7 linked regions of the Coturnix japonica genome follow. The protein of the gene in region 3 interacts with the protein of the main gene of each other region in a pairwise test. Links are inferred from orthologs where the notes say so. Each region holds a gene or a part of one and is shown on either strand. Other genes may lie near its edges.

What was found.
Region 1: the proteins of EGFR (region 3) and AP2M1 interact in binary tests that used the Homo sapiens proteins (3 or more experiments, as listed by UniProt). The link is inferred for Coturnix japonica from reciprocal best matches to the Homo sapiens genes EGFR and AP2M1.
Region 2: the proteins of EGFR (region 3) and SH3GL2 interact in a protein complementation assay, tested with the Homo sapiens proteins (3 studies listed by BioGRID and IntAct, with this or other methods). The link is inferred for Coturnix japonica from reciprocal best matches to the Homo sapiens genes EGFR and SH3GL2.
Region 4: the proteins of EGFR (region 3) and PIK3C2B interact in binary tests that used the Homo sapiens proteins (3 or more experiments, as listed by UniProt). The link is inferred for Coturnix japonica from reciprocal best matches to the Homo sapiens genes EGFR and PIK3C2B.
Region 5: the proteins of EGFR (region 3) and DOK1 interact in a protein complementation assay, tested with the Homo sapiens proteins (3 studies listed by BioGRID and IntAct, with this or other methods). The link is inferred for Coturnix japonica from reciprocal best matches to the Homo sapiens genes EGFR and DOK1.
Region 6: the proteins of EGFR (region 3) and ABL1 interact in binary tests that used the Homo sapiens proteins (3 or more experiments, as listed by UniProt). The link is inferred for Coturnix japonica from reciprocal best matches to the Homo sapiens genes EGFR and ABL1.
Region 7: the proteins of EGFR (region 3) and CAV2 interact in binary tests that used the Homo sapiens proteins (3 or more experiments, as listed by UniProt). The link is inferred for Coturnix japonica from reciprocal best matches to the Homo sapiens genes EGFR and CAV2.

The regions. Positions count from the first base shown.
Region 1 is NC_029524.1:13,826,408-13,830,486, reverse strand, and holds the start of AP2M1 (AP-2 complex subunit mu), read right to left. Parts: upstream 2,801-4,079; 5' UTR 2,673-2,800; intron 1-2,672.
Region 2 is NC_029547.1:29,788,095-29,792,201, reverse strand, and holds part of SH3GL2 (endophilin-A1), read right to left. Parts: intron 2,803-4,107; coding exon 2,669-2,802; intron 1,422-2,668; coding exon 1,263-1,421; intron 1-1,262. UniProt on the Homo sapiens protein: Implicated in synaptic vesicle endocytosis. May recruit other proteins to membranes with high curvature. Required for BDNF-dependent dendrite outgrowth.
Region 3 is NC_029517.1:73,822,911-73,826,961, reverse strand, and holds the start of EGFR (epidermal growth factor receptor), read right to left. Parts: upstream 2,801-4,051; 5' UTR 2,480-2,800; coding exon 2,362-2,479; intron 1-2,361. UniProt on the Homo sapiens protein: Receptor tyrosine kinase binding ligands of the EGF family and activating several signaling cascades to convert extracellular cues into appropriate cellular responses.
Region 4 is NC_029541.1:2,127,393-2,131,499, forward strand, and holds part of PIK3C2B (phosphatidylinositol 4-phosphate 3-kinase C2 domain-containing subunit beta), read right to left. Parts: exon of another isoform or gene 3,845-4,107; coding exon 3,698-3,844; exon of another isoform or gene 3,442-3,697; coding exon 3,408-3,441; intron 3,078-3,407; coding exon 2,882-3,077; intron 2,046-2,881; coding exon 1,923-2,045; exon of another isoform or gene 1,463-1,922; intron 1,253-1,462; coding exon 1,085-1,252; intron 937-1,084; coding exon 825-936; intron 752-824; coding exon 609-751; intron 82-608; coding exon 1-81. UniProt on the Homo sapiens protein: Phosphorylates PtdIns and PtdIns4P with a preference for PtdIns. Does not phosphorylate PtdIns(4,5)P2. May be involved in EGF and PDGF signaling cascades.
Region 5 is NW_015439533.1:509,900-514,589, reverse strand, and holds the start of DOK1 (docking protein 1), read right to left. Parts: upstream 3,170-4,690; 5' UTR 3,102-3,169; coding exon 3,039-3,101; intron 2,759-3,038; coding exon 2,459-2,758; intron 1-2,458. UniProt on the Homo sapiens protein: DOK proteins are enzymatically inert adaptor or scaffolding proteins. They provide a docking platform for the assembly of multimolecular signaling complexes. DOK1 appears to be a negative regulator of the insulin signaling pathway.
Region 6 is NC_029532.1:4,613,032-4,617,138, reverse strand, and holds part of ABL1 (tyrosine-protein kinase ABL1), read right to left. Parts: intron 3,694-4,107; coding exon 3,609-3,693; intron 3,245-3,608; coding exon 3,067-3,244; intron 786-3,066; coding exon 601-785; intron 1-600. UniProt on the Homo sapiens protein: Non-receptor tyrosine-protein kinase that plays a role in many key processes linked to cell growth and survival such as cytoskeleton remodeling in response to extracellular stimuli, cell motility and adhesion, receptor endocytosis, autophagy, DNA damage response and apoptosis.
Region 7 is NC_029516.1:22,513,176-22,517,884, reverse strand, and holds the start of CAV2 (caveolin-2), read left to right. Parts: upstream 1-1,517; 5' UTR 1,518-1,608; coding exon 1,609-1,755; intron 1,756-1,838; coding exon 1,839-2,026; intron 2,027-4,709. UniProt on the Homo sapiens protein: May act as a scaffolding protein within caveolar membranes. Interacts directly with G-protein alpha subunits and can functionally regulate their activity.

The sequences.
Region 1 (4,079 bases), on a different chromosome or scaffold from region 3:
TTGGTAGCAAAGTCACCATCTTAAAAGTCTGCTACAAAAAGGATCGTGTACAAAAACAAACTGCTGGGATGTGTGTTTGAATGCATGACAGCTCTAATGCCGGGTGTTCCTTTAAAAGCCAGACTTTGCCCTTTCACACCTACATTGTGCCACGCACTTGGAACGCAGCTCAGCAAAGCAGTGTCCTGATGCCAGGCTGTCAGCAGCTTCAATTCTGAGGTGCAGCATGTGGCTGACCTGGGAGCACAGACACAATGCACTAAGTGCAGCATCCACACCAGAAGAAAAACACCTTCCTGGAATTTCCTTGCAGCCCTGATATCACCTTGAATGAAAAGAAGAGCGTTTATTACGTACAGAGTCCATCTTGGAAGCAGCAGCCACAAGTCAGTCGATAAGCTGGCACAGAGCACCAACCCATTTAGCAGTCTATTAAAAGAAAGTTTGGGTTCAGACTTAACAGTAAGTAAGACTTCTGTGCATTAGCGAGCTTATCCAGCTAAGCAGTTTGAGGTACATTAGCTGCTGGAGCTCTCATCCAGGAAGAAGCCAGGAGAGGTGCTGCAGCTCTCCCAGGACCAAGGGCAAACCAACTGTAACGGTTTGTGCATTCCAGCAGTCACTGTGATCTTGGACAAATGACAGCAGTAGAAGCAGGAGGCGGATTAGTCAGGCTGCTCTGGCAAACAAGCTATTTAAGAAACTAGTCTTTTCAAGCTAGCACTAGCTGTTATCAAACCGACAGGCTTAAGGCTTACCTCGAATGTCATCACGCAGCAGCTAATCTGAGCACCTAAGCTTTGCTTATAGCGCTGCATTAGCCACTGTCCAGGAGGCCACGGGCCACACCTGGTTTTAAAGAAGAGTAGCCGCAATCCTGGGGAACACAGGCCGTGTAATTTAATTAAGACACATAATGTGAGCTAAAGAGCTCCCGAGATAAGCCCATCGGTGTCAGAGGAAGCGTTCCAATTTTAAACCCAATCCCACAAATCCCCACAAGCAGTGGGCAGGAAGAGAAGCACGTTGAACACTAAGCAGGCTCCCCTCCTACAGCCTCTGCGTGCCGTGCTGCACGCCATCAGCTTATAGAGGATGAGAGAAACCCTGACACAGGGAAACACGACAGGCCTCGTTATTAAAGCACCACACAGCCCTCCAGCTTAGAGCATATTCACAGCCTTCAGCTGTACAAGCTCAGGAAACTGATGCAAGACACTGTGCTGCACTAGATTAGCTTCATCTCACCTCTGCACCAAGAGGCCAAGAAAAGTTTAACCAGGGTCACGTGAAGCAAACAAAAAGACACACACAAACCCTGAGATAGCCCAGAAAGAATCCTCTATCTCTGCTTCAAAAAGCTGCAGATATGACCCTTTGTACCCTCAAGACTCAGCTCTTCAAAGACCAGGAATGTGCTGTCTCGAGAGAAGGGGAGAAGCCGGCCATAATATCCTATGGAGACATCACATCATATGGAAGAAAATACAGCCCAAAGGACGCCGGGTATCTCTGTCACTAGATGTCAGTAACATGGCTCTGCCCGCAGAAGATGAACGATGCCCCCGCTCTGACAAGGAAAATATGGCAGCAGGCAGCTGGGATGCATCTCATCAGGCTGGAGGTTGTCCCTGCAAGCAACTCACTGGGACAAGTCTAATTTTTACTATAAGGCAAAAAAAAGCAGTAACTGCAGCGCTGCATTCACATTAATGGTGCCCAACAACTTATGTACCCGCATAAGCCTAAATGTGGATACAAATCCAACACAACCAGAGCTCTGAGCTACTGAAGCCACTCAGATGTGCTTATCTGGGAACGTTCCAGGCTCAGATTCCGAAAGCCTTAGGCTAAAAACTCAGGGCAGCTTTGTCATCCTGAAGTGAGGAGAAAACAGAGATCACACAGCTGACGGGGAGTCATTTCCCGGTGGGGCCAGCGATCAGCTGCACAGGGCGACAAACAAGGCAGCTTTTCCTGCAGCTCTGCAGGATCCAAAGCCCAGCCCGAGGAAGGAAGGAAGAGGAACCGCATCCATAGGCGCTGCTGGATAGAGGCCCTCTTTACGCTTCAGCACAGCATCACCAGAGGCGCTCTGCGCCCAGCAGCTTTTCCATAGAGGAAGCTGGAGGTGACAAGCCACGGCCGAGCGAAGCCCCGTCCCATCGGCTGAATGATTCCCGGGGAAGTTCCCGCTGATCCGATTAAAGGACCTTTGTTCGGGCTGACCCGGCACGTAGCCGGGGCCGTTCCCCAGGCTCCGTGTGCCGCACCGAGCCCACCCGACCCCCCAGGGCCGCCGCTCCGACCCCACCGCTCCAAGAAACGCCCGAGCCCGGCGGGTTTAGAGCCGGTCGCATCCCATCCATCCATCCATCCATCCATCCCATCCATCCCATCCATCCCATCCATCCCCCGGGGCCGAGCACAGTCCTGCCGCGCAGCCCCGCCGCCCCGTGAACTGCGGCCGAGCCCCGAGCGCTGAGGGGAGGCGGCCCGGCGCTGTCACAGCCGCACCGAGGAGGCCCGCGGACCCCCGGCCCCGAGCGTTGAGGGAACGGCCGCTGCCCGCCGAACCCCGGCCGGTCACCCAGCCCAACACAGATAGAGCCCCACAGCCCCACAGGGAGCCAAACCAGGCCGCTCGGCCCCATGGCAGCACGCCGCCTCACCTGCCGCCGCCCGCCGCCGCTCGCCGCCCAGCGCCCAAGATGGCGGCTGCCGCCCCCCCGTCCCTCAGCGCCCCCCCTAGCACTGCAGAGCCGCCGCCGCGCATGCGCTGCCCGCGCCCCGCTGGCACTGCGCATGCGTCAAGCGTGGAGGCGGGAAGGACTGATCCGCGCGGTGCATGCTGGGAGATGTAGTCCTGAGGCGCGGACGCGCTGGGAGTTGTAGTTCGTGGGGGACGGCACAGAGCAGCTAGGCCTCAATATGGGGCTGTAAGGGGAGGCCGCCCTCACCCTGCACGGCCCCGCTGGTCCCCACTGCACAGTATGGGCATTTATGGGCATATATGAGGCTGACACCATGCATGGGCACACACATTGTATATCCCAATGGAGAACAGCCAGCACCCCTACACAGCGGGATGTGGCAGGGAGTGGGAAGCAGAATGGTCCAAAACAAAACGCGAGGCAGGAGTCCAATAAAACTATGTTTATAAATAAAAACAAGGAGAATGGTTCTGTTTTTGTAAAATCCAGTGAGTAGGGCAGGGTGAGGAGAGGCAGTGAGAGGGACCAGGGGTTACAGGGGGCAGTTGGGCAGTGCCACCACACTGAGCCCCATGTGCATGGAAAGAGGTGTGAGCAAGCGGGGAGGGCACATGGGGCAGGCTGGAGGGTATAATACAGAGCTCAGGAGTGAAACACATTTTATCTCCAGAGTGTAAGAGAACCACAAACAGAAAGAGTGAAGGAGACAACAGGAGGGCGCTAAGGGAGCATGGACCCACATCTCCTCCCCACGGCCCAGCAGGAGTGGAGAGGAGCAGCTCTGAGCGGCCGTGAGAGGAGGAAAAAGGATGAGGAGGGCTGGAGCAAGTGACCCACAGCTCTGTGTGAGCCCAGAGGAGCTGCAAGCACTGCCCACAAAGCTCACGTCCCTCCCAAGCATCGCACACAGGGAATGGAGCAGGGTAAGGTCAGTGCTGCCCCTCTCTGCACACAAACACTGTGTTCCCCCATAGTGTGCCTTCCCTCACTCACTGGCTGCATTCTCAGCTCTCAAAAAGGTCCCACTGCTGTGTGGTGTTGCAATGGCAGAGCCACAGCTGCCCCAAGGACTGCCCTTGCAAGTGACGGGGGCAAAGAGCAGGGCAGAGGCCCTCTCTAGGCTTCTTTGGGCCAAGTGAGCACTCACCCCATAGCCCTGAATTCTACAAGTCCCATAGGAAGTAAGGCAGGGGGCATGGCCCCAGTGCCAAGGACAGGGCAGGGGGAAGGAGTGCTCTTCCCTAAGGCCGGGGCAAGAAGGGGAGGCAAAGGGCACCATCTCCCCATTCCCCACAGGCAGTGAAGCCCTGGAACATTCAGACATTGGCTGAAAGGCAACTACAAAGGGATTTAAAATTCATGTAA
Region 2 (4,107 bases), on a different chromosome or scaffold from region 3:
TGGAGTAAAAAAGGTCGACATAAAAAAGCTATTTTTCAGGTTTTTTTTTTGAAGCTAGCAACAATGCTATGCTTGTGCTGAGGATCTAACAGCTTGTGGGCAGGCTCCTGAGTCAGCAAGGGTGGAGCTAGCACATTAGCAGCACAGTTTAAACACCTACCCTTAGCCTTCACACCTGATAATAGGGTTTAACTAGCTTCAGGGAAGGCAGAAGTTAGCCCTCATAGAGCACACCTGGTGAGTAACCACTGTTGCTGCCCACTAAAAATGGGGAGGTTCAATGAGTAAGCACAGCCTACATTGATAACATGGTGCTGCAGCTATGGAGGGAGGGTAAAGTGGTGAGAATCTTTCCTCTTGGCAGTCTTTGAGACTGCAGGCCTAAATGTGGTCTCCACCAGACAGTGGGTTTATTCCAAGAAGACCATGGTGTCCAAGACTGGGGGGGGGGCAATCATTTACTTATACTGAAATATTGAAATTGAGATTCAGTTAACCAGATATCCTGCGCAACAAACTTCAGCTATAATGTTTGTTTGTTTTGTTTTTTTTCTCTCCAGAAGAGGTAGACGTTACATTACTTACAAAGAGAGAATTTAAAAACCCGATACATGTAAAATCCTAAACCAGTTTCTAAGCAAAAATTGAAAAAAAAAAAAAAAAAAAAAAATTTAAAAAAAAAAAAAAAAAAAAAAAAAAAGAAATTTAAAAAAAAAAAAAGAAAAAAAGAAAGCTTCAGAGTCAGGATTCCACAGTCATATTAACTCTGGCTTTCCTAATTGTTATTGCATATGATGAGGGCAGAGATCATGAGGGTTGTGCATTTATCATCTCTGATCTTTACAAGTCTTCTCAGCAGCATACATATTTGAACAAAAGCCTCAGATGTAACTCCATAACTACAGCTAAGTAAAAACCATTATTTACATTTATGTCATTCTAAGAAGGAAAACACTTTGTCTTTCTAAATAATACTGTTTAATTAGGAAGCACAATGGTGTTATAGGGGATTTATCTTCTTTATCACTTATCTATCAAATACCTATTAAATTAGTCTTGCATGTGCGTACTGTATGCTAATATAGCTTCTGAACCTCTCACTGAGTGTAATGAAGTAGGAAGTGCTTTCTCATTTTCAGGTTATTGGAATCTATGGCATCACAGAATTAGAAGATTTAGACAGCTTTAAATTGCCTTCATTGCTGAACCAGCACACTTCCATTCTAAGATTTAGGTCAGAGCATAAACAAGAGGTATCTCACATCCATCTCCAGAAGGTTGAACATGCTTGACTCAGCAATTTCTTTTGATTCATCAAATTTCTCCAGAGCTTGGCGAAGCTCTTCATCAGGGAGCTTGCCCTGTCTTTTCTTCTTGTAATCAAAATCCAGACGTCGACCTTCCATTTTCTTTAGGTGATGCTGAAAAACAAAAATACAAAAGAATAAATAAGAATAAAAAGTGTTTCCCAACTTCCCTTGCTTTTCTCTACCAGGGGCTCTCTGTAATTTAACTGATACACCATGCAAGTTTACAAATATGTGCTGTTTGCTGTACGTCATCCTTTCCTGAGACAGGAAAAGCAGAACAATGAGCTGGTTTTACATCTCTTGAAAGATGCACTGGTGTCCAAATGTGAAAGCTGTTCAGCACTAAAACAGGCCACATACAATGAATAAATACTGTTGATGCTTTAATTAAAGATATGAGAGTTTCTGACATATAACTGCCTTTGGTTTGTGAAACACTTTCATGTGCAAAACAACGTGGAATACACTTTTAATCACTTTCATCAGATCATCAAAGTATCTTAATGCTATCTTTTATTGAAAATTTTCTGATTTAGTAATTGACAGATCACTCTTGACATTCTATTTAGCAGTTGCCATGCGATGCTGGCCAAAAAGTAATGTTGCTAGCCAGAATACTTGTCTTTACTAGTTTAAAAAAAAAACAATTTGTCATCTATTACGATTAACTTTATCAATTTTGTAAATTGTATCAGACTGCCTAAGACATTTTTGTTCTTTCTATATTTAACCATGTGAAAGAATTGTTGATCTCAGAATAGTTATTTATACAGATAAACATTTGCTGAATTAGGAAGCACTTGTACATTCACCGTTATAATATTAGCCTGTGTACATACAAGAATTTGTCCAATGAGATTTTTCTGTGAATAGATTCCAGGTGATCCTTGGACTATGAACCACACAATTTATGCATTTGTGCTCCAAATTCCTGGGAATATTTTGGGCACAATTTTTACACAGACGAAAGAGTTGTGCAAGTCTAGAGGCAACTATCAAAATACATCTGCTTATTTATACACTAGAAAACTGAATGCAAACATCTCTTCATCTAATTACGTGACTTACATGAAACATATTTTCAGATGGTATAATTACAGTACTGTGTTAATGCCTACCAAGGTTATGCTATTCTCAAAAAATTACAGTTTTGGTCTTTCTGATTCTAAAAAAAGGGACAGATGTGAAAAATAATATTCAAAGAAAAAGGGATTAAGTCAGATCATTTGTGAATCTAAGAGTTCTTTTTAAAGTACACAAATAACAGATTTCATATATATGCACACAGAGTAAATATACAAATACATATATATATTTGTAAAGTTGGCATTATGAAAATGCCGCATTGTAGGCAGTACCTGTATTTCTCTCAGATCTTTGTCATGGAGATTCTGAAGTGGGTCAATGAAGTTTTGTTTAACTTCCATGTCTAAAGAGTCTTTGACCTCAGAGAGCTCTTTCATTGCTTCTCCCACATCTGCAAGTGCTGGTCCTGAAAAAAGACATCCACTTTATCTTAAAATAACTTGGTTCCCATGCACAAAACTGACTCATGGATACAGTTAGCATTCCATTTTCACCTTCAAGTGAGTATGATGCACCATGTGAAAGGGTAACAAGTATTTTACACTTGTACAGCCCCCAGAACTTATGCTTTGTGACACAGCTGATCTTGAAAACTCGTGTTGCATATAGTCAGACTGCCTCCACACAAATCTCTTTGTGCATTCATTCGTTGCTGTATTGAAGGAAGTTTTTGAAAATAATCATCTTTATTTTCTCCAGTATGGTCTCAACATTAGGTTTCATATAGAAGTAGTATTAACACAAGTCAAAATCTTCCTATTTGTATCAGTTAAAATGTTGTCAATTTCAAATGTGAAAATAGCTGACCACTGTTTTCTTTGTATTTGATGAAAGATTAATTTGATGAAACTCTCAAGTTCATACACTTAGAAAAGTTCATAAAAGTCAGTAAGAATTAGCAGTCTGAGGTCCACAAAAATTACCGTTCTGGTTTATTTCCTCTAAAAGAAAATAAAATAAAAGCAAGATAAGATAAAAATATACTCTCCTGATTTGAGATGTAAGTTGGTGGAAGAAAGTCTACTTTCAAAGAATACTAAGGGACTGAAAACTTAAAAATGCAAGGAATCAGGAAGAGCTTTGTTTCCCAAGCAGGGGATGGATGCCAGGGATGCTCAGCAAAACTAAAGAGCCTGCCAGATTTGGATGAAGAGTGACAAACATTTATAATATAAGTGATTGGTTAAGAAAGTAAAAATAATTCCTATATCTATTTTTCTGCGTGCTATTGTAATCATTGGAGAATGTAGAGCAATTTGCAGAAACTAAATTCTATTAGTTTTTCATTTTTCCCTTTAAGGATGTATTTGAAAATTAGCAAGTAAGAGGCAACCAATTAAAACAAAACAATTAAGTATCTTTAGTACAAGTAAGTCTACATCTGCCAAGACAGCCAGCTCCTAGTCAACAAGCAAGAAAGTGCCTTTTCTATTGTAGATGTTTTTAAGCTGGAAACAACTTACTATGAAGATTCAAATAGGAAATAATAGAATTTTCAGGATCCTCTCTGAGTGTTATTAAATGAAAATAGCAAGAGAGAAGCCTGCAAAATTATGACAGAGTGATAAGGGAACCAGCTGGAAATGTTACCTCTTCTACTTTGACCCCTACTGTGGATGAACACAATATAAAATCTTGGTATAACATGTCTCACTCAGGCAGCCGTAAACTCATTTGAAGCTTGTGGAAGGGCTTTGCAGATAATTGGTAA
Region 3 (4,051 bases):
AGCCAGTACACTGCCCAGTGGGTTAGAGTGCACAGTCCTTTACTCCATTCCACAATGGCTGCAACTACAGATCAAAACTAGATATATAGAGCCAAAAAAGCAACAAGAAATGGTTTGACTAAATGCAATGTCACTAAGCAATGAGAAACAAAATGGACATCAGTCAAATGCATGCTGCAGGAAGTGGCATGCCTGCTGTCAAAGGCACCTAACAGGCCATCCAGCAACTATCAGTGTAAATCCAGATTACTTCCTCTGCTGTTAATCTGGATCAACATTAAAGATGGTGGATTGAGAGAGAGGGAGGTATTGATCCCTGTGACAGTTCAATTTCTAACAATGCTGTTTGGTGCTGCATTAAGCACAGCTACTGGGTTTGTTTGGTTTGTTTTTCATTTTCATGACTGCAGTCATTCAAATAAAAAAGTTTCGTCTCATCCAAATTTGAAAAGATTGTTCTAAACTTCTGGTAAAATATACAGGTGAATTTTAATTTCCATTCAACTATTACATTGCCCATTATAGTTTGATTCTGACATTCTTGTAACAAAAAAGATTTGCCAAGGTAATTTGGGGGGGATAATACAAACTAAAATATTAAGAAGCATAAATGCATTTACTATTTGTACTTCTAGAAGCAACAGAATTTTATCATAAAACATGAGTGTTGCAATGTTTATGGCAGCATATTTGCTTTCAGAACTGTTATAAATTCAGATGCCATGGGGTCCCAAGGAAGTGGGTCTTCACTCATTATTTTATGATTCCCAAATGCCACTTTATTCTGTACCCACCTTTATTTCCTCTCTCATCTTCAAATGCGGAGAAAAACAGATAAAGCTCAAATAATTGATTCATGCTTCTTGAAGAAGTTATTCTGCCTTCCCTCTTCTGTCCCCGGTCCTCCTCACAGGAATGGTTACTCACTAACACAATGCTGACAATGATGCCCATTGGGTTTATCATGTAGCTGTTTTTTATTTAACAATCCTCAAATAAACAGCACCTTCATAATTTTATGAGACACCAGATTAAGCACTTTAAAGAAGGCAACAACATATATACCCTCACATTTTACAGATTCTGCTGGGCATGTGCATCAGGGTGTTCCATTTCAAAGGACTTAAATGCAGCAGACGGAGTCAGCTCTGCTCCCCGTCACTTTCAGTGGATGAGGGGAGACAAGAAAAGAAAAAGATCAGAAACCCAGGAAAGAAGAGCTGCCTACGTTACATCAGCAACAGGTATGAACTTGATTTCTGGAACAAGGGAGCCTCTTCAATGCTTTGAGGTTGTGTAACTAGTTCCTCAGAACAGGCAGCTGCTGCTCCCTTTCAGGACAGTTTTACTGTTCTCAGTTACAAAAACATAGGTTCAGCTGTTTTCAGCTGCAAGCCAGCTCTTCAAAACACTACTAATTCTTTTTTCCCTCTTTTTCTGTAGAAAGAAAACACAACAACAGATCTGCATTTTTTCCCTTGCTGGCAGATCTCCAAGATAAAGAGAACTGTACTCTGCCTGGAACAGCACTCGGGGCCTATTCACAGAAATGATCACCACACATGGAGAAAAAGCGACGGAACTCTCCCAACAAAAACGTTCTCTCACTCCTTAAACCAGTTTTTCAAAAACGTATAAAAAACAAAGCTCCAGAAGCCAACCAGACAGCCTCGCGGGCCGTCCCGCGCCGTTCCCACGCACGGCTGCCGGGCGCTCTCAGCGAGGGTGACAGCGGAGGCATCGGGCCGGGCAGAGAGAAAGAGAGAGAGAGCGAGCACGACCGGAGAACCAGAATCCGCATGAAGTTTCCCGTCCTCCCCGACACACCCTTCTCAGGTGTGTGCACACGTATATGCATGCATTCATCTTTTTGAAGCGGAATGAGCTGAGGTGCCCGGCCCGAGGCGGCGGGACGGCTGAGGCTGCCCTGCGTGTCCCTGCCGTGCTCGGTGCCACCTCCCCGGTGTCGGTAGCAGAGCGGTACTGGGCCGGCGGCCACCATGGGGTGAACCCGGGCAGTGAGGGCGCTCGGGGCGCCGCGGAAAGAGCACGGGGGCGGAGTGGAGGAGAGAGCAGAAAATAAAAGCCTCGGGAGGGGACAAGCACAAGCGATGAGACTCTCAAAGGTTTATTCCCTTTTATTTCCTCCGCCCCCACAAAAGAAAATAAGCTTAGAATCAGGAAGTCATGAGCTGCGCGACTGCTCTGTAGGTCTGTTTTTCCATCTTTCTCTCAGTAGTTTTTTATTTTTTACTTTTTCCCCCCTTTCTTCTAAGGGACGAAGCCAAGACTTTCCCTCCGACTCTCCCCGCAGTACCAAGGGGCACACCCTGTAGCCCCAGCACCCGTACCACCCGTTACCTTTCTTCTCCTCCACGGCGGAACAGAGTGCGACGCGCCCCAGCAGCAGCAGCACCAGGAGAGCGGCCCCGCGGGGCTTGGCGGCGGACAGGGGGTTGAGAACGCCCATGGTGTGCATCGAACGCGACGGGCAAACGGAGCTCCCCGACGAGCTGCTCCTCACTTTGCGCTACTCTGCTCTGCGTTCTACTCCGCTCAGCTCCTGGCTGCCACTCTGCCTCCGAGCAACATGCTGGAGGGCAGCCGTCGAGGGTTGCACGCACACGTTCCTACCCAGCTGCAGAAGGACTGCTGCCTTCTTCCTCCTCCTCTCCTTTCCTACTCCCTCCTCTCCTTCTGTCGCAGGGGCTGCGGAACGGATGGGGCCGGCCAAGGGACTACTCTGCCCAGCTGCGCTCTCCGACCGGCCACGGAGCGCAGGGGCTCCCTCTGGGGACGCCGAGGGGGAGGAGGATGGGGCGGGAGCAAGAAGCGGGGGGAGGAGGAACCAGCGGCGCCTTCCCCGCCCAGGTAGGAATGGAACCGCCTCTACCTGTCCCAGGACAGAAGGAAGCAGCTGTGGGGGAGGGAACAGCTTGGCCTATTCCCCCGCTAGGTTTATGCGAGTGTTGAGGGTATCCCGTTGTCCGCTTCCCGCTGTTTGTTTGCTCGGTAGCTGCCGAAGGCATAAGCAGGCGTTTGCGTCGCCGCTTGTGAAAAGCCCTGTGGCCTTCAGCTCCCCATCCATGTCCCTCCCGTGGGACGCTCTGCAGCAGAAACCCATCCCGTCCCATTATATACAACCCTCGTTTCTGCTGCCTCGGCATCAACAGAGCCCGTGAACAGCCCCATTCCCGTGTGGTCATTTTGGCCACAAAGTCAATAGGATATGAACTACTATGATTTATTGGGAACTCCAGAACTGAATCTCACAATGAAAGGGGCTTGGGAGGTAACACACTAAATGCCTATGCCTATCCCCATGTGCTGATAGCAACACATGGGGATATCATAGATACATTACGTAGACAGTAAAACAGCTGCTGGGTGTATTCTGCCTTACATCAGTGATTCATGCCTTCTGAGAGATTCTTTGATAGTTATTTATATTGATTTATATTGATTCACTGATTTTATACTACCCATCAGATTCCTCTGCACATTTTTTTCCCTGATAGTTTAACAAGTTACTGTGCTAATTAGGCAAAGAAAAGTGAAACACCATTTACTTACATTAGCACAAGTTAGATGCTCCAACACATACCATATCGTGCCTCTAATTGTTTATTTTTAAGATGAGCCTTTGGATGCTGTAACTGGTATGCTCTTTTCCTTATACACTGTAAATAATACACAATAAATACGTCAAAGTAAACTCAGAAATAAGTAACATCCATACAGCACTGCTCCTCTGATTGTTTCTGTTCCTTTAACAGAGGCAGAATCTGATCCTGCAACAAAATATCCATTTAATTCAGTTTGCTTCAATGCTGTTTACACAGTGCAACCACAAAAACATTATGTGCATATAACACATTTTCATTTATTTTGACAAATATGAAGGTTTTAAAAAATGAGAAGCCCAGGAAAAAATCAGCTTTTAGAGAGGGGAGATTTGCAAAGTAATTTCAATGTACACTAATGGTTGCAGCTTGCATTATGAGAGAGGAAGAGCAATAAAGACACCAAGGAAATTAACCTCAAATCAGTT
Region 4 (4,107 bases), on a different chromosome or scaffold from region 3:
AGCAGCATGGGCAGTGAGCCGGGTGCTTCGTGGCAGTAGTAGCGCTTCTCCCACAGCCGTTTGCGGTCTGCATCTGTCAACCTGCAGCAGCAAGCAATGAGGGATGACAAAGCCTGGGCACAGCGCACAGCTCCAACCCCACCATGCATGGATAAAACCCTCCACAGCCTTAAGAGAGATGGTGGATGGGGCTATGCCATGTTGCATGATGCTGGGTGCTCCCCTGGTCCCTGGGGCACCCATCATGTGCTGGCCTTGCACCAAGATGCTTGGCAGGCAGAATTAGCACCGTCAGTGGGTACTGGAGGAGTGTCTGTCAGTGGGGACACATCCACCACTGCTGTCATGCTCTGTGGATCCAGGCACGGCTGCTGACACCCAATCCTCCCTGTTTATAGCAGCAGCAGACGCCGGCCGGCTCAGCAGCACTGAGCATTGCAACTCCACCAAACCTCAAACTCATCCTCCAGCCCCAGCTGCCTCCCCAGACCAGCTGCTGGAGGAAGGATCAGGCCCCCAGATGCCCCCTGTGCATGCAAGCCAATGCTGGGCAGAGCTCAACTGAGACCCCTCAAGGAAGGATGGTGCTGATCCCCCCCATTGCTCACCAATAAAGCGATTTCTTCTGCATCGCCTCCCGCAGCCTGCGCTGATCCTCCTCACCCAGGCTGCCAAATTCGTACTTGGGGCTCACCTCGGCCGCCAGCGGGCTCACAAACTTCACGTCAAAGGCAGAGGTGGGGAAATCAATCTGGGACAAAGGATGGGTGAGTGAGTGAATGGGGGTTTGACACCCCTCCGGTGCCCCCACTGCTGACACCCACCTGCAGGATGACGCTGTCAGGCTGGTTGAAGTTGGGGGCACTCGATCTGGCTCTGGAGTTGTCCTGGGTCGCTGGCCACAAGCCCAAAAGCTTTCTCCCGCAGGTCAGGACCCTGGAGGAGAAAGGGGAATCTATTTGGGGGGCTGCTCCCCTGGGGTTGGGGTGACACCGCTGCAGCGATGCTGCATCCCCACACTGAGCCCTGGGGGACCCTCAGAGCCCACCCTGGGGTGCCCGTGGTGGTTGGACACCCTACGCACTGCCTGAAGTTGAAGAGCGGAGTGGTGACCCAGCCCAGGGCCTCAGGGACCCGCCGTTGCTTGTTGGTGTCAGAGGAGCTCCCCGGGGGAGGGACGGGCACGGCGAAGAGCGTGATGCTGAGCAGCGTCTCCCGCGGCAGTCGGTTCACCTGGACGGGGAAGCAGATCCTGCAAGAGAGCAGTCAGAGCCCCACGGCACGGATCAGCCCTGGCCCCTTACCTCGGAATGCCAACAGAGCTCAGCAAATGCCTTTGCTGCTGGCACTGGGGGTGCCACGTGCACACATACGTCATGGGCATACCCCCCCACGTTGGACAGGGCCGGCTGTTCCCATGCCTTTGCTATATCCAAGGTAGGTGATATGGGGGATACTGCACACTGACCTCGTCCCAGCTTCTCCCTGTCAGTGTGGGGGTCCTCAAGGAGCTCAGGGCATCCTGCCCACAGGGTGGGCATGGGATGGGTGGGACAGGCAGAGGGGATTGGTGCCACTGGACACACGTCCTTCAGGGGCACAGGCGCCTTCTAAAATTATCCCATTCCCATCCCCACCTCTTTGCAAATGCCAGGCATGGCGAGGGCTCAGCACAGCCTCCCTCCCTATCCCTATCCTTATCCTTATCCCAAGGCTATTTTGGGAGCAGATCCCCTTTCCCGGGTGCAAACAGGAGGTGGAGGACTGGCGCCAGGGGCAGGTGCTATTCCTGGGGATGACATAAGAGCTTCCATAACCCTAAAACTAGGGAGAGGCACAGAGAGGAGCTGCTGGAGGAGGTAGTACGGATGGGGACGGCACCGGGTACCCATGCCCACCCCACATCCAGGGTGCTGCCTTACTGCTGGTCCCATATGATGAGGTGGAAAAGGTACTTGTAGACGTGGGCTTTTCTGGTGTGCAGGGGGCTGCACAGCTCCTTACCACCGTGCGTGATGGAGCAAGAGAGGTAGAAATCTTCATAGCTGCAAGGGGAGCAAAAGAAATGTGAGTGGGGGGAGCAGCCACAGCTCTGAGGGTGCTTGGGGTTCACTTAACCAAAGGGGAAACCTCATAGCAGTGGAGCTGGGAGGAAGGGGGGTGCAAAAAGGATATGTTGGGTATGTTCCCATGGCTGGCCACATTCTAATGAAGCCCCTTCATAAGTGGCTCGTCCTCCCCAGCTTTGCACAAGGGGGGTGGATACGGAGCTAGCAGCCCCTGTCCTTCCCATCCCCATCACCATATGGCATCGCGCATACCATCACAAGGGGGGCTGCTGGGGGGGGGGGTCCTGCCATGTGGCAGGTGCCGAGCGACAATCCGGGGAGGGCTGCGGGGTGCTGGAGGTCAGGGGATGTCGGCATTTCCCAGGCTACGGGCTTTGTTCAGAGCCAGTCACCAGAGGGAATACATTAAAGACAGGACAAAGGCGAGGGGTCCCCGGCGGGGCGGCTGCAGCCGATGCTGCTGCCTCATACACCCTCCCCATGGTGGGCTCCTGGGCTGCCACTGTCTCCCCTGCATGGGGCTGAGAGTGGGCACGGGCACTGGGGCCATCTGTCACATCGCCAGGGAGGCTGTGAGCCCAGGAGTGATGCTGCAGCCTTGGGGATGTGTGGGGCTGGAGAAAGAGAGCAGCACAGAGCCTGTGCCATCCGCCTGCACCATGCAAGCACCGCTCAATGCACGCCGAACATGGGGCGCCCTGGGGTGGTTTAGCTTTTATGCTGAATATTGAGCAGCCTAGAGATGGAACTAACAGGTCTGTGCCCCAGATTATGCAGGTAGAGGCTGAGCAATGTCCACATGGCCACCCTACCTGGCAGCCCAAGTGATGGGGATGCGGTGAGTGGCGTAAACGGTGAAGGAGAGTGGGCAGGAAAGCAGGCGAGCCTCCTGCACCACGCCATGCTCCCGGCTCCATTGCACTGCTGTCTGGAAGTCAGCATTGAAGGTGCTGCAGTAAAGCCCCACCAGGTCCAGGATGGCAGCCGTCAGGCTCTCCACGATCCTCTCTGCAGGGGAAAAAGGAGAGGGGTGACACAGAGCTGTCTGAGACCTGCTGCCTTGCTGTGTCTTATAGGGCCTTAAAATGGGGCTGGGATGCTGGGGGGGGGGACCCTGAGCAGGGCTGTGCTCTGGGGCATGAGGTGGAAGTGCAGGAATTGCAGGCTTCCACTTAGCTGAGCTGATGGGGAAGAACAATAGGCATGGCCTCTTTTCTTTAAGAAGGGTTTCAAACCCATTTTCGGCCTTAATAATTGAGGAGGAGGAGGGGTTTGAAGATTAAAAGCACCAAGAAGTTCAATCCAGAAGGGGAGGAGGAGGAGGAGAATTTGAAATACCTCGATTTTCCCTCTTGGCCAGAACATTTGGATCCTGCAGAGGAAAATAAAGAAAAGAAACCACAAGAGCAATATCAGCATGAGCCCTGAGCGTCGCTGCGGCCGGGAGAGGCTCTCCAAGCCAACAGCTTTACGTAAGCAGCCGGGGTGAGCACCAAGGTCCTGGCCCTTCAGCTGCTGCCTGCTCCCAGCTATTGAGGAATTTTCCACGTGGTGTAAAGGAAAGGAGTGAATGGGATCAGCCTGCAATTGGGCTTTCTCTCTGCACCCACCCCTTTCTCAGCTCTTACCTTCTGGATTTTGGGCTGCATGCGGGACGGGCAAGGGGGCATCTGGTTGAGGGCTGTTGTTATTTCCTGTGACTCAACGGCAGCCAGGGCATTGCAGATGGCCATGACCGACTGGATCACCCGCTCTGCCTTCAGTGGGAAGTCTCCCTGTGGGGCAGAGGGAGGCTGAGAAGGGCTCAGAGACAAGGCAAAGCGGAGCCCAGGACCTTTGGGGAGGCTGCAGCAACAGGGCACGGGGCAGGGAGCAACATCTGCACCCTCCTGTGTGTAAGTAAATACCAAGAAGAGGAATAAATGCTGCCCTCAGTCTTCACAGCAGCTCCCCAGCTTGCTACACACCATATACAGTGAGTGCATCAGACTGTGCCTCAGTTTCCCCTTGTTTCCCAGCCTTTCCCCTTCTCCGAAGC
Region 5 (4,690 bases), on a different chromosome or scaffold from region 3:
CAAAGCACTGCATGGCCTCAGCCGCTCTCCCAGCCACACAAACAGGGAGGGAGCAGATGCCACGACCCAGCCACAGCAGCCCGTGTCCTTCAGCACAGCTAGGAAGGCAGTGCCAGGATTAGTGCACAGACCACAGAAGGAAGCGAGCACTTCTACTTTTAGCATATGCAGAACTGAAAGTGCAACGCAAACACTCTGCCAGGGGCCACATCTCCACTGCAGAGTCCCCCGTGGACCAGTGTGGCAGACGCACCCTCAGTGCCCCCAGGGACCCTCCTCTGGAGCAGCCCCATGTAAACCAGGGGCCCACTGATGTTGGCAACAGCCCTTCAGTGGATTTTGTGCTCCCGCAGGAGGGTCTGAGCTCAGACCAAGCAGGAAACTTTCCCAGGGTCACGTGGCCGGGGTTGCAGCACATCTTGCAGAAGGCAAGCTGCTGCAGTTTCAGTTTAAAACTAGTCACATGAGCTCCCCTGTGAGAAGTAAGGCCCAAACAAGGCCAACAGATTCTCTCTGGCTTCTAAACAGGATGCGCTGCTAAAACCCAAAGTCCAAGAGCTGACAGCAGCATCTTCTGCCCTCCTGAAGTATCCAATGGAGCAGAGCTCAACCTGGGAGCAGGCAGCCAAGAATGCCCAGGGGCTTTGTTGGACTGCACCTTCCCTCATGCTCAAAAGAAAAAGAATCAGAACAGTTTGGGTTGGAAGGGACCTTTAAGATCCTCTAGTTCCAACCCCCCGCTATAGGCAGGGTCACCTTCCACTGGGCCAGGTTGCTCACAGCCCCATCCAGCCTGGCCTGCAATGCCTCCAGGGAGGGGACGTTCACAACCTCAATGGGCAACCTGTTCCTGTACCTCACCACCCCCACAGGACAGAATTTCTTTCTATTACCTAGTCTAAATCTACCCTCTTTAAGTTTAAAGCCATTTCCCCTCGTCCTGTCACTATATGCCCTTTCAATAACTCACTCTCCAGCTTTCCTGTAGGCTCCTTCAGGTCCTGGAAGGCCACTATCTGGTCTTCTCTGAGCCTCCTCTTCTCCAGGCTGAAAAGCCACGGCTCCCTCATGCTGCCCCTGCTGGGGAGGTGCTCCAGCCCTCTGATCATCTCTGTGACCCTCCTCTGGACCTGCTCCAACAGCTCCATGTCCTTTTTGTGTTGGAGGCCCCAGAACTGGACACAGTACTCCAGGTGGGGTCTCACAAGAGCAGAGTAGAGGGGCAGAATCATCTCCCTCAACCTGCTGGTTGTGATTCTCTTGATGCAACCCAGGATCAAATGATCTCTGTGGGCCATTCCCAAGCTGCTTACCTCCTGGACCACAGTTAACACAACACAAAATCTCACTCTCCAAGCAGATGAGCAGAAATTGCAACCAAGCACCTTCACCTTCTTGCATAGATCACATGCAGCAGCTCCTACACCTTGTGCTCCAGGGCAGGCCTTCAGTACAGCCCCTTGATCTCACAGCACTGTCAAACTCATCCTTAAGCTGCTGACCAGCTTCTGGACCCCAAGTTTGCAACTGGCAGCTACCAGGTGAACCAAGGTGTTAGCACAGCACTGCTCCAAGGAAGCACTCATCACTGCCCCCACCATAATGAAGGTGGGTGGTGGGCTCCCAGCTGAGCACCAGGAACCCTGCCTAGGACAAAGGCTGCAATACAGTCTGCATGACACAGGGCCACAGACATGGAAAGACTCCCGGTGCCACCAGTGCCTCTGAGCTGGGCCAGTCACTGATGGCTGCAGGGAGGTCCTACAGGGAAGCCCAGCCCTGCATCCATAGCCTGAGTCTGGAAGCACTGCCCAGCAGTGACCAATTCTCCCACCCCAAAATGAGTACAGGGCACATGTGGGATCAGACAGGCAGGGACCTGTCATAGAGCCATGCAAACACCAACACATACAGGCCACCACTGCCCTGTGATCTGCCTTCTCAAGGATGCAATAGGCAGCTGATAGCCAGCCCTGGGGAGGGGCTGGGAAGGGCTGGGAAGCTGGAAGCCATGGGCCAGCACTGATGCTGGCACTGGACAGTGACCCCTAGGCTCGGTGAGGGGCTGCTCTGTCCCCAGAGCTGCTGGTGCTTCCCAGGAGCCTGACGGGTCCCAGAGCTGGAAACTGCACCACTCAGTGTTGAGCTTCTGCCTCTGCAGGAAAGGCAAAGAGCTGGGACCGACGGGGACACACCTCCAGCCCTCAGCAGGTCTGAGGGGCTGAGCAGGGCTCCGTGCAGCAGCGCAGCGGATGTCCCGGAGCGCGGGGCACAGGCAGGAGCCCCTGGGGACGTTGTGCTGAGCAGCCGGGCGGCCCCACGAGTCCAACCCGGGCGGCTGCCGAGGCCGGAGCCGCTTCGCGGGGCAGCCCCTGAACGGCCGCGGTGCCTCGGGACGGTTCGTCGGGGCCGCGACACCGACACACGAGATGCCGCCCCCGCCCCCCGCCCCGCTCACCGGGAAGGCGATCTCGCACAGCTTGGCCACCCACTCGTCGCTCTGCTGCCGCTCGGCCGCCAGGAGGTAACTGCGCCCGCTGGTCTCCAGGCGGAAGGCGGCCGTGCCGGCCCGGGGGCCGCTCTCGGCGGGCGCGGGGCTGACGCTGGTGCAGTCCGCCAGGCGAACCACCGTCTTGTCCAGGCGCCGCGTCCCCAACCGCCCGGCCGGACCCGCCGGCTCTTTGCAATCGAAGAACTCCAGGCGGGCGACGCCGTGCTGGCTGGCCGGGAACAGCGCGAACCAGCCCCGCTTCCACCGCTGCAAGGCACCGAGTCAGCGCGGGGCCTCCCGGTCCCGTCCCGTCCCGTCCCGTCCCGTCCCGTCCCGTCCCGTCCCGGAGCACGGCCGCCCCCGCCCTCCCTCCCTCCCTCCCTCCCTCCCTCCCTCCCATTGCGGCCGCCCGAGCGGAGCAATCTGCGGCCCCCATCGCTCGGCAGCGCTGCGCTCGGCTCGGCTCGATGCGACCCACGGCCCGGAGACCGACGGAGACCGACCGACCGACCGACCCCGTCCCGCCCCGTGCCCCCTCGGCGCGCACCTTGGTGCCGAACTTGTTGCTGTGCTGCACGAACAGCGGCCCCTCCTTGGCCGGCGGCTCCATCCCGCTCCGCGCTCCCCGCGCTTCCGCCGCCGCTCCGGGCTCAGGGCGGGGCGGGGCGGGGCGAGCACGTGAGGGAACGCGCGGGAGGGGCCGAGAGCAGCAATGAGCAGCAATGAGCAGCAATGAGCAGCAATGAGCAGCAATGTGCGTGGGCGGCGTGTGCGTGGGTCTGTGTGTGTGTGTGTGTGTGTGTGTGAGTGTGCGTATGTGTATATGTGTGTATGTGCGTGTGTATGTATGTGTATATGTGTGTGTGCATGCGTGTGTGCGTAGATCACCGCGCCCGGCAGAGCCAGGAGAGCAGCCCCGCAGTGCTTTGGCTTTGCATCGGATCATACAGTCTGGATACTGGACACACTGCATCCACACTTGGGAAAGAAAAGGGACAGAAGGGCACTGCCCGGGGCACTGTCCTTCACCCCTCACTGGGCTCCACGCAGCCTGACATCCCCAGCGGTTGGTGGCACCGGGATATGGCTGCTGGTGCAGGATGGAGGTTGGGCACCCGGCACTGCCTGAGCTGGGCCTGGCCACTGCAGCCCACCCAACCTGGAGCCCAGCCTGTCCCCGCAGCACAACCCAGCACAGCTTTGTGCAGGAGGTGAGCAATCATGGCCTGTGCCCAGCCAGCCCCAGGAGGGGCTGCTTGCTCAAGTAACCCCGCCTGGCAGCACTCAGCTGGCTTTCCTGCAGTATAATTGTCTGCCCTGGTGCAGCTTTTATCGATGAGCACGATTCTGGTTATGAGCAGCATCGTGTCTGCCCCACCCAGGGACTGAATCTTCACATGCTTTGAGTGCTCCTTGCATTGTGCAGCTGCCTGCGTGTCACTGAGCTCTGAGCACACTCTGCTGGCCCACGGTGCACTCTGACTGTCGGGCTGCAGCCGGTCAGTTGCTCGCAGGCTCCTCACTCCCCACACGCCCAGACAGCATCACCTGGCCTCCCTGCACTGCCTGAACCTGCAAGGGGGAAAGGAGGATGCCGCAGATCCTGGCTGTTGGCCTCTGACACCCATTTCTTCTATGCCAACCCATGCAGGCTGGTTAGATGGAAACGCTACAGGTAGTGAGAGCTGCTGGGAGGGCCCTCAGCAGCGCCCGTGTGCAGGAGGCCACCAACGCTTCATCCTCCTGCATGAATGGGCCACAGTAACAAAGCCACGTGTGTTCTTCCCACCTTATGAAGTCGTGCGACTCAGGCTGCAGGACACAGATCTGCCTCACAATTAGCCCGATAAACAGGAAAAGCAGCCAGCAATGGAGCAGAGCGGCACCGCGATGACGAACACGAGGCTGTGTGCACACAGGTACCGATGTTGTGCAGCTGCACGACGGGGAAGTTCTGACGTGGCAGCACTTCTGCAAACCAGAACCGGAGCGGGACGGAGCGTCACGAGCCGAACGTGCGTCAGCAGCTCAGAGCAGCGGGACAACGGCCCGAGGTCTGCGGGCAGGTGAGTCACGGGCGAGGCACGACAGTCCGACCTCCGCGGATGTGGGGCGGGGGAGGCACCGCAGCCCGAACCGCACGAGGGGAGCGGGGCGGAGCGGCACGGAACGGCACGGAGCGGCACGGAGTAACACGGA
Region 6 (4,107 bases), on a different chromosome or scaffold from region 3:
CTGCAGTCAGATTTCATAGAATTTAGCTCCATTTAGCTAAGCCCAGTCTTATCACCAGCACCTCAGGGCTCTTCAATAACCATTTGTCATCAAATTTTCTCTCTGTTTCTGCTCATCTCATTCCAAAGATTATTCTTTTAAAATGCAGAAAGACGAGCTCGGAGCTATCACCAGACAGACAGATACACACATAATTTTTTAACATAAAATGAACCAGATCCTCACTTTTCTCCTTAAAGTAGTTTGAAAGTTCCTGGCGATAAAGCAATATATTGCTTCACAGTTCTGTGCCAGAGCTCCATCAAGTCAGCAGCACGGCTGCCCTCCAGCCCCATTTCATACAACTCTATAAACACCACAGTGTCCTTTGTTTTCATACTTGTCAATGACTCAAACACGTAAAGCCAGGTCTGCAGCCTCACTTCTCCACTCCAAGACCGACTTGGCAGAGATTAATTCCTGCACTCTGATACAACACAGCTCAGAGCAGGGAGCATTGCTCTCTCCTGAAACATTTCACAGCATCCTCATTTCACAGCCCTGGAAACGAAGGTTGTAAAAGACCATAATCTGAATTAATTTGTTCATGCAAATTCTTACCCCAGACATCAGACTTAATGGAGAACTTGTTGTAGGCCAGGCTCTCTGGTGCCGTCCATTTGATGGGGAATTTGGCCCCAGCGTGGGCAGTGTACGTGTCACCTGTCATCAACCTGCTCAGGCCAAAGTCTGCCACCTTCACCAAGTGGTTCTCCCCTACCAGGCAGTTTCTGGCAGCGAGGTCCCTAAAAACAAGAACAAAACCAAGCAATGAGAAGTCTGTCCTCTCACTTCTAGCAAGAGAGAGGAAATTTGCTGTTCCCAAAGAAGCCTGGGCCTGCACGTGATTATTCTGATCAGGGTATTACACAGAAATTATGCAGCTCTGCACACACATGGAAGAGGGAAAGTTATTTTCCATTCCGGCTTTGTAAGACTGTCAGCCCAACTTCTTTTTTTTTTTTTTTTTAAATGCAAAATGAAAGCTCCAAGAACCCCCTCACTTTCAATAAAAGCTGCCACCCTCAGGATAAAAATAATGTAAAGAAATGTCAGTGCTCAAGTTATCAATAGCTGAGGATGAGCGCTGAATTAAAGACGTCGCAGTGCCTCCCCTTCTTGCCCACCTTTCTAACACCTCCATCAACCCAATCACCACCGTTCACCCTTCAGAACTCCTCTCCCAGTCCCTGCTCAGAGGCAGCTTTAACTCCCAGCTGTGCCCTCCTCCCTCCCAAGTATCACATATCTTACAGCACCATGTTTTCTACCACCCTCCCCCCTAAAAAAGTCATTGGTGACCATACAGACGACTCAATGACAGCACCCACAAAAGCAGCAACCCCAGCTGCCTAGTGAGGAGGCAGAACAAAGCCTGTGTGGGCAGCTGCAGGACAGCAGTTTCTTCTTACCCTTTCAGCCCTACTCTTCAAACACGAGAGGTTTTGCCCTTCTCAAACTACCCCGGCCTCTGTTATCAGTACTTCTGTTTTCAGTAGACTGGATGATCAGCAGACTGAGCTTTTCCTCTGTTTTTTCACCTTGGCAGGTGAGAGATGCACACGTTGCATTTACCACCCCCCCGGCTCAAACATGCTGCCAGCACCCTCAGCACTGCATAGAAATGTAAAGCACAGAAATACATTTCTCCTAATACCAGGTTTCATTAAAAGCACTTTTTCAGATTATGTTACATTGAACTAAAAATTGATTCTACCAGAAAAGGTGAGATCTTCTTTAGATAGGAGGCAGACTCTGCTGTTTCTTTTGCTTGTTCTGCTCAATGGGAATAAATTAAGGGGGGGAAAAAGTACACCTTACTAGATGCCCATTATATTTTCACAATGTTTTTGAATGTATCTCCTTATCAATTCTGATTACTACAATGTATGTCTAAATAAAAGCTCCTCTTCATAATCAAATTCCTCCTCCTTCCTGATTCATTAAATGAGGTCACAGCCCAGCATTTGAATCTACGGATGTGAATGGTGACAACACTCTTAAAATAATTGGGTAGGTGGGTGTGGGGGTGGCTGATAAGGAAAAACGCTACTATTTATTTTAGATAAATGGGTCATCAGAAATAAGATGAATTGAAACGAACGGGAGAGCAGACGAACGGGATTCATACAAGGCAGATTTTAAAGCTCACTTCCTACAGGCAGAAGGGATGGAATACTTTCAACAGAGCAATTCAAAGGGTGGAAATTTTAATTGCAGCATCACCGTTTGCTTCAATGACTGACAGAAGCATTTAAACAGCTCTTTCAGGCAGCAAAAAGCAAGGCATGTCTGAGGAACACCTAGAACTTTACACGCGATCTTCATATTTCCCTCTATAAAAAAACATGTGCTAATTCTATATTCTAGCTAATTGGGCAGGAAAGGTCACACTGTGGCACAGAGAACATCTTGTATTGAACTCAGCAGCTCTCATCCCTCGCACAGGATGTGTCATTATATTGCTAGGAGGTCGCTCCTACAGACAAAGAATGCAAAGCTCTGGTCATAATTGCAGCACACTTAAAGGTCAGAGTCTTTGGGACTTTAAGGTTGCAAAGATACTTATTAAAGTCAAATAATCTGGACAATGGTGGACAATAATCTCTGCAGAGGAGGAAAAGTGTGAGATAAACAAGAATGGACACAGGGTGAGACGGCACTAAGAGGGTGGCTTTGCTGTGAGCACCCAGCAGTGTCACCCATCTGCAGCAGCCTTTAATGGCTGTTGAAATCAACAAAGAGGCCTATGTGAGCCACTAAGAACCTGTTACTTGAGGAAGCATTTATATTTAAAGCGTTTGATCAAACTGTAAAAGCACTGATACATCTTTAACCTACATCTGCTTCAAAAAAGGGAAAAAAATGGAGGAAAACCATTAGAAGACCATCCTATAAACAGGTCAACATACTGCATCAGAATACAGTAGATAGGGGCTGCAGCTGAAGGGAAGGCCACGACAACCTCAAAATACATCAGGTGGTGTTTTGTGCTTGAGATTCAGGAGCACTCGGTGCCCTTCGTACCTGTGGATGAAGTTTTTCTTCTCCAGGTACTCCATGGCTGAAGAGATCTGGGTTGCCATGTACAGCAGCACCACTGCATTGACCTCCTGCCTGTTGCACTCACGTAGATAATCCAGCAGATTCCCATATGTCATGAACTCCGTAATGATGTAGAAAGGAGGTTCCCGTGTGCACACCCCTATGGACCAAGATAAAGTTTCCTATGAACATTTGAGAGTATCAGTGACTCTTCCAGGCTGTCATCCCAGGCAACATATATCTCTAATGGCTGCAAAGAGGGGGGATTGTACAGAGAATGAGTTTTGCTTGGAACTGGTTAATAGAGGATTTTAATTTCCTGCTTCAGGCTCTGGCAACTTAAAACGTTAGGGAGACGAGATCATTAAAAATCATGTATTACCGGTACAAATTGTGAATTCTGCCAGACAATAAGTGCCTGTATTTAAAGCCTTGGTATGGTAAGCAGCTTATCTGCTCCTTAACATCCATATCACTGCACAAGGGTTTAGTTCAAATCCCCCTGCTTGGTATTTATCACTTACCTAATAATTGCACCAAGTTCGGATGCTTGATCTCCTTCATTACTGCAGCTTCTTTCAAGAACTCTTCCACCTCCATGGTATCCTCCTGCAGAACAATAGCAAAGCTTTGGCAAGGACAGCGTGCACAGAGGAGGGCACAAAAAGAACTGCAAAGTGACAGCACCAGCCACAGTTCTTTCAAGGCAGTTTTTCCCTGTAGCCACATCACAAAGCCAGGGAGTGAGGAACGTTTTTTGTTTTGTTGGGGCTTTTTCTTGTAGGGTTTTTAAAAACACATTTTTATCTTTCTTATTGTAAGGGAGCTTTTTTTGGGGGGTGAGAAAATCCATATCCCTTTTGTGAAGGGCCTCTCACAGGACCACTCAGGAGTTGAAAAGGAAAAAGCTCAGAGCGCCTGTTCCTAACAAGAAAAAAGAAACCCCACACGAAATCAACAGCACGGAAAGAAATGAAACAAGAAGAAAATCAAAAGGAAGGCTACAACCGAGCAAAGGTCTGA
Region 7 (4,709 bases), on a different chromosome or scaffold from region 3:
TGCCAGAAGCCATATAACTGACATCCTTGCCATGTTCAGGAAAGATAGTCTCTATTTGTATATAAAACACTACAATAATCAAAGTCATGTTCAAAGTTTAAACAGGAACATCCTTATAAAACAAAGGTTGAACTGACTTGACATTTTGCAATAAAATTACGCACTGGTTAGAGGCTAAATGTAACTGACTTAACCCATTCTTTTTTTGTTAAGAAATAGAGCAGCAAAATGTGGAATGCTTCGAAAATGGAGGTACAGTTTATTTCCTCAGCATGTGGAGCTATAGGCTCACTGTTCCAGCAGGTTGGTGGAGTGAATCACAGGAGGGGGTGGGAACAGGGCAGACGTGTTCAGGAGCAGAACAAGCACACCAGTCTATTTGTCTGGTAAGGAAGAAGGCAACAGTCCTTGACATTAAGGAGGACACGCTGACTTCAGTAGCCAAAGGGTTACCTTGGGACCCTCTGCTGGTTGCCCCCACCTCGCTTTTCAGCAGCACCATATCCAACACAAGCAGCCACCAGAAGCCCAGTGACTGCCCTCAGGCTGTAGTAAGGCTGGAGCAGCAGCTCCCATACCCAGAAGTTAGAAAAGTAATTGGTGGACAGAAGGATCCTGAAGGGTATCTGAACCTCAAGCCTGTCAGCTGGTCTTTTTGTTCCTCCCACTCACTGAAGAGAAAAAAAGAGGAACTGAGAGCTAGAAATGAAGCTCAAAAGTATATCCTGAGTCATCACTCTGTTTCTTTGCTTGTATTTAAACCAATTGTCAACCGCTGTGAGCCTTTAAAGCTAAGGAGCCACATCCAGACTGCTGGATATAAACCCTTTACGTGACACCAGGATCTCCAAACTCATCAGCAGGGGAGAAAAAAAGCATCACCGGGAGTTACGCAGAGTTGTGAAGCACTTCTTCAGAAGTTATCCGGTCCAGAACAATGCAGCACAGTGCAGGGCATTGTGTTAGGTGATTTCCTACCCAAACCTTGCGGTTATTTTTGTATCACTTTCCTGTGCGCTCCTCTCAGCTTAAGGCCGTTCCTAATTTAATGCAGCGGTGAGTAATAAAGAAAATTAACAGCGCTGGATTTGTTTTAATTCAAGAAGTCTTGATCATTGATTAGCAATGACACTTGAGAGACTGTGGCTACTGTGGCTACTGTGGCTACTGTGGCTACCTGCTACTAGGGGCGCCCCTGAGCTCAGTGCATACATCAGCACTGTCAGTGCCTCCAGCAGCCCTTACAGGAATCTGCTTGCTTTTATAGGGCACTCTTAGTCTTAAACCATGTAAACTGTCAGCCAACCCCCTGACAGGACACAACAACAGCTTGTCATGATGGATGCGTGACTTTCTGTGGGACAGTCAGGCGGTTTGAGGAATGCTAAGTTTATGACAAGTTACAGATGCACGCTGGGCACGGCAGCCGTGGTGCGCTGCTCCTGTCCCGTTCACCCCGGGCTGCTTGCGGGCAGCAGACACGACTCGGTGCGGCCCTGCGGGGCGTGGCCGGGCCTCCCCGCGCCGCTCCGCCCCAGCCCGGCAAGGCCGCGGTGCCGGGGGCGGCGGACGGGGCAGGGCGGGAGCCGGGCAGCGCCGGGCAGCGCCATGGGGCTGGAGACGGAGAAGGCGGACACCCGCATCTTCATGGACGACGACAACTTCCCTCCGGGCGGCCCCGAGCTGTCCGAAGCGGAGAAGTGCGCGGAGGACGCGCTGGAGCGGGACCCCCGCGGGATGAACGCCCACCTCCAGGTGCCGGGCGGGGCGGTGGGGGGAGGCGGCGGGGCCGGGTCCGGGCGGCGGCTGACGGCCGTCGGGGCTGCTCGCTCTTCCAGCTGGGCTTCGAGGACGTGATCGCCGAGCCCGAGCTCACCCACTCCTTCGACAAGGTGTGGATCTGCAGCCACGCTCTGTTCGAGCTCAGCAAGTACGTGCTGTACAAGCTGCTGAGCCTGCTGCTCGCCGTCCCGCTGGCCCTGGTGCTGGGGATCGTCTTCGCGGTGCTCAGCTGCCTGCACATCTGGTGAGTGTGTGAGCGGCCCGGGCCGGGGGGCGGGGGGTTCTGCTCTGCCGCATCAGTGCCCCCATGGCCGCCGTGAGGACCTGCGGGCAGCTCGGCGTGTTCTGCCTGCCGGGCTGCTAACGGGAGAGGAATTAAACCTGCGCTTTGTCCGTAGTTCAAGTCCACACTCTGATCTTAGCAGCTTTCCTGGCTGGGTGTGCTCCCAGGGGCAGAGCGTTGATGTTTGTGGGGCACCTTGCTCGGCTATGGATGGCTTGTTTTTGTAAAGCAGAGTACAGACGTTGTTAAAACACGTGTGCGTTAATTGGAAGGTTTCAGGGGGTCCAGCGCAGTCTTTTTATGCTACTGTCACAAAGTCAGCTGTCAGTGGCTCACATCAGGTGCACGGCCGTCTGCAGGTGCAGGGCAGAGAACCCCACCTGAGCTCCTGAAAGCCACGGCCATGGTTCACAAATACAGCAGCAAAGCTGGTGTACCTTACACAGAAACTACTGGTGAAGTATTGCAAGCCCAGAGAGGCAGCTGATGGAGAAGGAAGAGAGGCAGGGAAAAGAATGATGCAGAGGAAGGAGAGTCTGTCATGCTGCAGAAGGAAGCATGAATGTGTATCATCAGTGTAATTCTTGCAAACCTGGATTTTCCGTATACATAAGTTTTTACCTAAGCTTTATTTGCCATGAATAATATTGGTATCATGAAGAGGTCAGTAAGGAAAACAAAATGCCATCCAGAAACTGGGAAACAAAGTTGATATAAATACATTGGTTATTTGAACCCCTGATTTTTTGGTTGCAGATTTCAGTTTTCAGAAGGAGAATGGAAATTTGGGTTGATGGCATTGTTATGAGCTGCTTCAGAACCTGACTAACTTAAGTTCTGGAGCATGCAGAGTTTGCAGTAGGAAGCTGCTATATAATTTAGAGCTGCTACTTTGTTGGGCCTCAAATTACTATGGGCATTTTATAGTGGGCCTAGACTTTCATATCAGCCAGTGGTCTCTGTGCTTTACTGTACTAGAACTGCAATAGGATATGGTGAACATCTAGATTTCCTATAGTGAAATGTCTGGAAGAGTTCATTGATGATCAATTTGTTCACAATGATATCATTTAATGCTGCAGGATGATCTTCTATCTGAATTTCACAGGCTGGATATGTGGACACGAGTTCCACTGAACAGGACTCAGGGGTCATTTCTATTTGTGCAAGTAGTCCCCAGTGACTCTGTCAGGAACTGTGGTTCCCAGTACATCTGAAATAGAACTGAGAGAATGTGGCACTTGATTTTGAGAAGTTTCCCTTGACTTTCTGCAGACACACTTACTTGTCTCCTCAGCAGCTCATTTTCGATTCCTGAGTTCACTGTCAGGATGGAGTTGATCCTTCATTTTGGTCTTGAACCTGGATGGGAATCACATAGCACAGGAGTGCTGTCTGCGTCCCTTTGGACCCTACCCAGTGCTGCAGTTGGTGGCACAGCACAGTCTGGTCATCCCACAAACACAGCCTGGATTTGTTCCAATGCAATGTTTGCACACACTGTGGTTATACTGACTTATTTCTGCAGCTCCCAGTGTTCCAGATTTCTTGGGATTAAGGAATTCAATGTCTGTGTGTTTGGGAGGATAGTGCAGGAGCAACTGATACCAGAGGCATCAAAGAGACCCTATACACTGGCTCCCATCTAAGCCTGTTGGGTTTGTAAAAATATCTCCTCCTTGTTTTGTGGTTGCAGGGATGGGAATTCCATTATAATTCTGTCTTCAGCTGTTTAAACATCATGGGAAAGCTCTGGGCACTCCCTCCCACATGGCTGTCTACAGGAGAGCTTATCAGAGTCTGTGCCTTGTTGGCAACATCCAAACCACTGAGATGCTGATGCTGATCAGTTGCAGGGGAGCCTTTCCTAAGAATAAATTAGAAACTGTTTCAACAACGCTTGGAAGTCCCAGGGAACAAAGCTCTCATGGTTGTCACACACATGTTGCAGTTTTGTCAACATGGTAAAAATTCACTGAAGTCTGACAGCATTCCTCATGCTCCAAGGACACTCCATGACTTGCGCCCATTGTGTCTTGAAGTGAATGTTGTCTTTCACCAGAAAAAAAGAAGAGCACTAATAAGGGAGGTGAACACATGAGACCTGTGGAAAGCAAAAAGAAAACTTCAGTTTTCATTGCGACCTATTAAAAATGAATAATTTGATTCTGTTCTCATTTTGCTTGAGCTAAAATCCAGGTTTACGCTGCCTGGCAAAAGATACTGAAGCTGTGGTAGCCAGCAAGACCTACATACAAGCTACTTCAAGGAAAGCTGCTTCTCTCTTAGTGATGGCTGTCATTTTAACTGCAGTCGATACACTCAGTTGTAAGGCCAACTTTAACAACTATCTGTGAATATCTGAGCAACCTTTTAAACTTGTCCCTAGACTGAGGCTGCTAAGATTATTGATTTTTTAATATGAGCAGAGCATTGCTGGATGGCCATGCAAAATCATGATCTCTGTGGTTGGTTCAGAGGCTAATTCTTGTTCCCAGCCACACATTGGCAACCTCTTGAATTTCACATACACTTTCTGTAGTCTTATCTTTAAAATGTCCCATTATATGTTTATTCTGAGAATTTATGCATTATTTGAGAATCTGTAACTTTAGGTTGGAGAAGAGCTCTGAAGTACAAGGAG